2 linked regions of the Macaca fascicularis genome follow. The protein of the gene in region 1 interacts with the protein of each later gene in a biochemical or structural test. Links are inferred from orthologs where the notes say so. Each region holds a gene or a part of one and is shown on either strand. Other genes may lie near its edges.

What was found.
Region 2: the proteins of CBX5 (region 1) and CHAF1A form a complex in vitro, tested with the Homo sapiens proteins (2 studies listed by BioGRID). The link is inferred for Macaca fascicularis from reciprocal best matches to the Homo sapiens genes CBX5 and CHAF1A.

Annotation. Positions count from the first base shown.
Region 1 is NC_088385.1:61,082,079-61,085,477, forward strand, and holds the end of CBX5 (chromobox protein homolog 5), read right to left. Parts: intron 2,228-3,399; coding exon 2,077-2,227; 3' UTR 690-2,076; downstream 1-689. UniProt on the Homo sapiens protein: Component of heterochromatin that recognizes and binds histone H3 tails methylated at 'Lys-9' (H3K9me), leading to epigenetic repression. In contrast, it is excluded from chromatin when 'Tyr-41' of histone H3 is phosphorylated (H3Y41ph).
Region 2 is NC_088393.1:5,149,561-5,153,380, forward strand, and holds part of CHAF1A (chromatin assembly factor 1 subunit A), read left to right. Parts: coding exon 1-556; intron 557-3,820. UniProt on the Homo sapiens protein: Acts as a component of the histone chaperone complex chromatin assembly factor 1 (CAF-1), which assembles histone octamers onto DNA during replication and repair.

The sequences.
Region 1 (3,399 bases):
AAACTCCCACCCACTTGAGGTATGGTTTATGAGCTCTTGCTCAATCACATTACCATTCAGAAGGATTTTCCTAGCTGACTTAAACCAAAAGCTTCATTGTTCCAGTCTGTCATGTCACTGCAGCAACAGCTGTCACCTCAATTATGCAGTATAATTTTTGACATAATTTATATAAGCACACAGAATTCAATCAGCAGCTGAGCAGGGAAGCAATGTTAACAAATGCTATGAATGGGTATATGATTTGCATATTATGTGGCTCATCTGTGGACTGGAGCAATCCATCCATTCCCCTCATTACTCTGAATAATCTAGAAATGGTGGATGCTCCTGGCCAGACAGCTGTATGTTTTAAAAATCAAAAGCAACAAGAAAAGCAGCCTCATGGCTGGTGCACTCTAGAATTAAGGCTATATTAAGCATTTATTCTTATTTCCTCAGCTTTGGGGCTGGGGCAAGGGTCCTCAAAACCCTGCTATTTCCTTACTTCTAATTGTGATTCTCTAGCCCTCCTCAACCACAAAAAGAAAAGGATAAAGTAGGACATTTCTTGGGGGACAAAGGCAGAAGGATATGATCAGACAAATTTCTCAATATAATAGCAACACAAGAAGAAACCAAAAGGAAATATTTTGCTGAGTAAGGAGAAAAGGTTGTGTCAACATGCTAATAATGCCAGGGCCTGTCACTTTCCAAGGTGATAGTCTTTTAGGAACATGCCTTTATTTTTATTTATTTATATTTTTTAGAGACAGGGGTCTCACTACATTACCCAGGCTGGTCTCAAACTTCTGGCTTCAAGCAATTCTCCTGCCTCAGCCTCCCAAAGTGCTGGGATTACAGGTGGTAGCCACTGTGCCGGGCCATGAAAATTCATTTTAAAAAATAAGATACAACTATAAGTTTGAGGGTAGAAAAAGGGAAGAGCATTAATATTTTGGGGACTCTTGGTGGTAAATCCAGGAGCCAAGAATGCAAGAGACTTTTAACTGCTATGAATACTTAAAATTGATATTGTGGCCAACAGCTCACCTCTAAAACTTCCCCACTGAAAATAATGGCATGGAAGGGAAACTCGGGTCCACTGAGAAGTGAGGGTCAGGTTTGAAGCCTCTTTGGTAACAGGAATGCTTTGGGAGGCCACAAAAGTTGGCAGGCTTGGAGGGTGCCTAGCACCTTGGCACAAGCAAGCACCAGGCAAACACTCACACCTACATAAATATACAGTCTAAATATGAGGAATGGAAAGAAATCATACATACATACCATATGTGATAATAAAGACAATTGTACCCTACCCCATCATCCTCATGTACTATAGCTAAAAATCTCCACAGTTAATAATCTTGTCATTTTATCACAAATTGATATCACTTTACAGAAGCAGAAGTGGAGAGTGCTAAAAGCAAGACCAAAAGTCCTGGGGCTAAAAAGAGTGTCTTGACAAATTTCAGTGTAAAATTTCAAATCTTCCAAAGGATGGAGTAATTCTGGGAGGATAAGTGAGGATGAACAACAGAGGGTGGCCCAGAAGACCACACCAGAAACCCTGTATTCTCCTGGGTAGAGCTGAACAAGGTTGGGAAAGCCCCAACAGGTAGGCAGTTGCTATTGGCTTTTTAACAGACGGGCAACATCCTTTCCATCTCAACATGTCAGAACAAAGGCCAGCTAGTCAGCAACATGTTCTAAGAACCAAAGCAAGAAACCAAAATTCAACATCATTGTGACAAAATCCCCCAATCTAAAAATCAAGACTCTAAGGTGATTAAAAAGTTAAAACTCATCTTGAGGTCACAGGGGAGCAGAAGGAAGAGATCAGGGCAAAGGAAAAAAAAATTGTGGGTATTACACTCAGTATGTAAATGCCTGGTCTTCACAGAGAGACACTCATCATTAATCAGACCATCAGTTATGTTACAAGAGAACCAATACCAACATTTCTCCTGTGGAGCACAGTGATAAGCACATTTTTTATGGATGTGTTTAGGATAGAAAGGGGTGGGTAGAAGGGAGAGGAGGCAGGGAGGTGAATGTATTATGTACAAAGAGAAATGACAGAGACCATCCCCTCCTTTAGCTCTTTGCTGTTTCTTTCTCTTTGTTTTCCGCATCCTCAGGATATGCATGCCATGTCAGTCTCTCTTCATAAAATGCTATCACAATTTGTGGACATTTCACGTTAGCTTCTTTTGCAAGAACCAGGTCAGCTTCATCTGTGTCTTTCCTGGAGAGAAATAATATGAGATTTAAAAGGAGAGGAAGAGTGAAAGAATCTGTCCAGACGTAAGTTTATGTCATTATACGGATTTAATTGACTTGATTTCCTCCTCACCTTGGTTTCAAGGTGAAAAGGACCCTTTCAATATTTTCAAGAAGAAATTTAAGTAAATGGATTAATACCTAATATACAGAAACAGATGTCTGTAGCTAGAATTTAGATGTAAACCATGGTAGGCTTAGGTTAAAAAGCTGAATGATAAATAATATTAATCTGCTTCCAAAATTTTTATTTGTGAATACAAGCATGTGAGTGAACCCAATCAAACCTACATTCAGCTCTATTAATTATGCATAAGTCAATTATACACAGGTTGGTCAATCCAGTTTCCAGATCATCTAAGTGAAGAGGTCTTAACCCTCCTCACTTTGTGTCTGTTTAAATACTTATTACCCCTCTGGTCAGAACTGTGGATTGGAACAACAAGCAAATAAAAATTTAGCTACAAATTTCAATTATCTCAGTTACACAACCTCTACTACCAAGTATAACAAAAAAATCTAGCCACATGGTTCCTTAAACATGATTCCAAATCAGTTTTTAAAAAATTAAAATTATCCTGAGAAGCCCAGGCACAGTAGCTCACGCCTGTAATCCTAGCACTTTGGGAGGCTGAGGCAGGTGGATCGCTTGAGCCCAGGAGTTCGAGACCAGCCTGGGCAACATGGCAAAACCCATCTCTACCAAAAAATACAAAAATTAGCTAGGCATGGTGGTGCACACTTGTGGTCCCAGCTACTTGGGAGGCTGAGGTGGGAGGATCACTTGGGCTTAGGAGGTGGAGGTTGCAGTGAGCTGAGATCGAACCACTGAACTCCAGCCTGGGCAACAGAGCGAGACCCTGTCTCAAAATAAATAAATAATAAAAAACAAAATAAAATTATCCTGAGATGTGGACAAGAAAAATTACCACCTTATTGGAGCAGATACTCAAATATGGACTACGGTGGAAAAAGCTAATTAATGTTAATGTAAATCGTAAGTAACCACATATGGCTGAATAGGAAAAAGCAGTCCAGCCCAGGCGCAGTGCCTCATACCTATAATCCCAGCACTTTGGGAGGCCGAGGTGAGAGAAGCACTTGAACCCAGGGCAACATAGGAAACCTGGTCTCTTC
Region 2 (3,820 bases), on another chromosome or scaffold:
ACTGAGTTCTGAAGCTTCTCCCTCCAGGGAAGCAGTAAATGGCAACCGAGAAGACACTAGGGATCAGCAGGGGTCGTTGAAGGCCAATCAGAACGACAAGTTGGCATTTCCTGGAGAGACCCTTTCAAACATTCCTTACAAAACAGAGGAGGAGGGTGTTGGCTGTGGAGGTGCAGGGAGGAGAGGTGACTCCCAGGAATGTTCACCACAGAGCTGCCCGGAGCTGACGAGTGGTCTGAGACTGTGCTCCAGAAAGGAGCAGGACAGTTGGAGTGAAGCTGGGGGCATCCTGTTCAGAGGGAAGGTGCCCATGGTGGTCTTGCAGGACATCTTGGCTGTGAGACCGCCCCAAACCAAGTCCCCTCCAGCCACACCCCAAGGCAAGGACATGACCCCTGAGAGCGGGGCGCTGGAATCTTGCCCTGAAGAAGACTCTGTACTCAGCCATTCGTCCCTGAGCTCTCCCTCTTCCACCAGCTCTCCCGAGGGGCCGCCTGCTCCCACAAAGCGACACAGCAGCACCAGTCCCTTCCCCACCTCCACGCCCGTGCGCAGAGTGAGTATCTCCCATGGAGTCCCTACACATCAGTGCTCATGGATCTCAGAGCACGCTGTCAGTCTCCACCGGGTCACCCAGCTGGTCTGTGGCAGAGTGAGCGGGGCCACAGGCTGGGTCCTGGGACTCGACACGGAGTTCTTGTATCAAAACTCAGTGTTCGGTTCTGCATTCGTTGTGATGCGCCTGGGACTTAATTCATCAACAGTGTACCTGGTGTACTGTGTGGATAACACCCTGCTGTTTTGCCTTCGTTGTTTACATCTAATTAGTGATAGCTTAGCCATTTTAGGGAATTAGGATCTGAGCTGGTGCTGTAACCCCTCACTTGAGATTCCAGGTCCAGCTCTCTCTGTGCCCCTCCCATCCAAGCATAGAACTGTAGGGATGGGGCTATGGAGGCATTGAGCACTGAAGTGGCAGTGAGACGGCAGGAAGCATGACATGGGGAATTCTGTAGAGTCAGCACAGCCACCCATCTAAAAAACCTCACCTGGGGCCAGGCGCAGTGGCTCATGCCTGTCATCCCAGCACTTTGGGAGGCCGAGGTGGGAGGATCGCTTGAAGATCAAAACCAACCTGGACAACAAAGACACCATCTCTACAAAAAAAAAAAATTATTTTTATTTTTTTGACAGAGCCACTCTATCACCCAGCCTCTGGAGTTCAGTGGCGTGATCTCTGCTCACTGCAACCTCCGCCTCCCAGGTTCAAGCGATTCTCCTGCCTCAGCCTCCCTAATAGCTGGGATTATAGGTGTGCGCTACCACACCTGGCTAATTTTTATATTTTTAGTGGAGACAGGGTTTCACTATCTTTGCCAGGCTAGTCTTGAATTCCTGACCTCAAGTGATCTGTCCATCTTGGCCTCCCAAAGTGCTGGAATTACAGGCATGAGCCACTGCACCCAGCCCTGCAAAAAAAATTTTTTTAATTATCCGGGCATGGTGGCACATGCCTGTAGTCCCAGCCACCTGGGAAGCCGAGGCAGGAGGATCACTTGAGCTGAGGAGTTGGAGGCTGCAGCGAGCTGTGATCACACCACTGTGCTCCAGCCTGGATGACAGTGAGACCCCATCTGGAACCATTTTTAAGGACCCCATAAGAGGGACTTTTGCATGGACTGTTTCTGTTACTGTTTTTTTATTAGCACGATGGTGTCCTTAGGATCTTATGGACCAAACTGATAAAATCAGTCACAAGTTCCATGCTGTGTTTAATGGTGTCTTTTTTTGGTTTATATATTTTTACTTTTTATCTTAAGTATGTAGAACCAGAAGAGACAGTGCCTTTTTTTTGTTTTTGGTTTTGTAGCACTTTTGTTTGTTCATGCTGGTTCTTTATATGAGAGTAGATCCTGAGATGGGTCATTTAATCTCTACCTGTAAGCAGGTACAGTAGACCACCTGGACTATAAACCACCAACCTTGTTCGCTTTTGGGATTTTGAGCTCTAAGGAACCATTTCTTTTTCTTTCTTTCTTTTTTTTTTTTTTTTTGAGACGGAGTCTCGCTCTGTTGCCCAGACTGGAGTGCAGTGGCCGGATCTCAGCTCACTGCAAGCTCCGCCTCCCGGGTTTACGCTATTCTCCTGCCTCAGCCTCCCGAGTAGCTGGGACTACAGGCGCCAGCCACCTCGCCCGGCTAGTTTTTTGTATTTTTTAGTAGAGACGGGGTTTCACCGTGTTAGCCAGGATGGTCTCGATCTCCTGACCTCGTGATCCACCTGTCTCGGCCTCCCAAAGTGCTGGGATTACAGGCTTGAGCCACCGCGCCCGGCCTCTTTTTTTTTTTTTTTTTTTTTTTTTGAGACAGTCTTGCTTTGTCACCCAGGCTGGAGTGCAGTGGCGCCATCTAAGCTCACTGCAACCTCCGCCTCCTGGATTCAAGCAATTCTGCCTCAGCCTCTCAAGTAGCTGGGATTAGAGGCACCCGCCACCAGGCTCAGCTAATTTTTGTATTTTTAGTAGAGATGGAGTTTTGCCATGATGGCCAGGCTGGTCTTGAACTCCTGACCTCAGGTGAGGGGAGGCCTTGGCCTCCCAAAATGCTGGGATCACAGGCTTGGCCGGGACCATTTATTTTTCCGAATGACATCATTTCTTTTTTTTTTTTTTTTTTTTTTTTTTTTTTTTTTTTTGAGACGGAGTCACGCTCTGTCGCCCAGGCTGGAGTGCAGTGGCGCGATCTCGGCTCACTGCAAGCTCCGCCTCCTGGGTTTACGCCATTCTTCTGCCTCAGCCTCCTGAGTAGCTGGGACTACAGGCGCCCACCACCGTGCCCGGCTAATTTTTTGTATTTTTAGTAGAGACGGGGTTTCACCGTGGTCTCGATCTCCTGACCTTGTGATCCGCCCGCCTCGGCCTCCCAAAGTGCTGGGATTACAGGCGTGAGCCACCGCGCCCGGCCGACATCATTTCTTGTCTTTCACTTCAGAGGAGGCAAAAGGAAAAAATGACTTCCTCTTTAGGTTCATGAAATGTTGATTAAAAAATGGAGCAAATTTTTTTTTTTTTTTTAGACATGGTCTCACCCTGTCGCCCAGGCTGGAGTGCAGTGGCATGATGTCAGCTTACTGCAACCTCCACCTTCTGGGTTCGAGAGATTTTCCTGCCTTAGCCTCTGAGTAGCTGGGATTACAGGTGCCCACCACCATGGCTGGCTAATTTTTGTATTTTTTTGGGTAGAGAACAGGTTTCACCACGTTGGCCAGGCTGGGCTCAAACTTCTGACCTCAAGTGATCCGCTCGCCTTGGCCTCCCAAAGTACTGGGATTACAGGCATAAGCCACTGCCCCGGTCTTCTTTTTTTGTGTGTGCTGGTTTGTTATATAGGTAAACTCTTGTCATGGAGGTTTGTTGTACAGATTATTTCATCACTCAGGTACTAAGCCTAGTACCCTTTTCTAAGATGCTAAATGTGCCAGACTGGGATGTACACATTTCAACTTCTACCTAAGGCACCACACAGTCTCCCAAAATCAGAGTTGAAGTCTTTCCCCATTGGCCATCCTGTAGTGTACATTCGATCACTTTAATTTCTTCCAGGCTGCTGCCGCTTTGCAGAATTTCGTCCTGTGGTGTGTTGCAGCCGTTTAGCAAGAACAGGACACATGGCCGGGCACGGTGGCTCACACCTGTAATCCCAGCACTTAGGGAGGCCGAGGTGGGTGGATCACCTGAGGTCGGAAGTTCGAGACCAGGCTGACCAACATAGAGAAACCCTGTCTCTACTAAAAATACAAAAAAGTAGCTGGGTGTGGTGG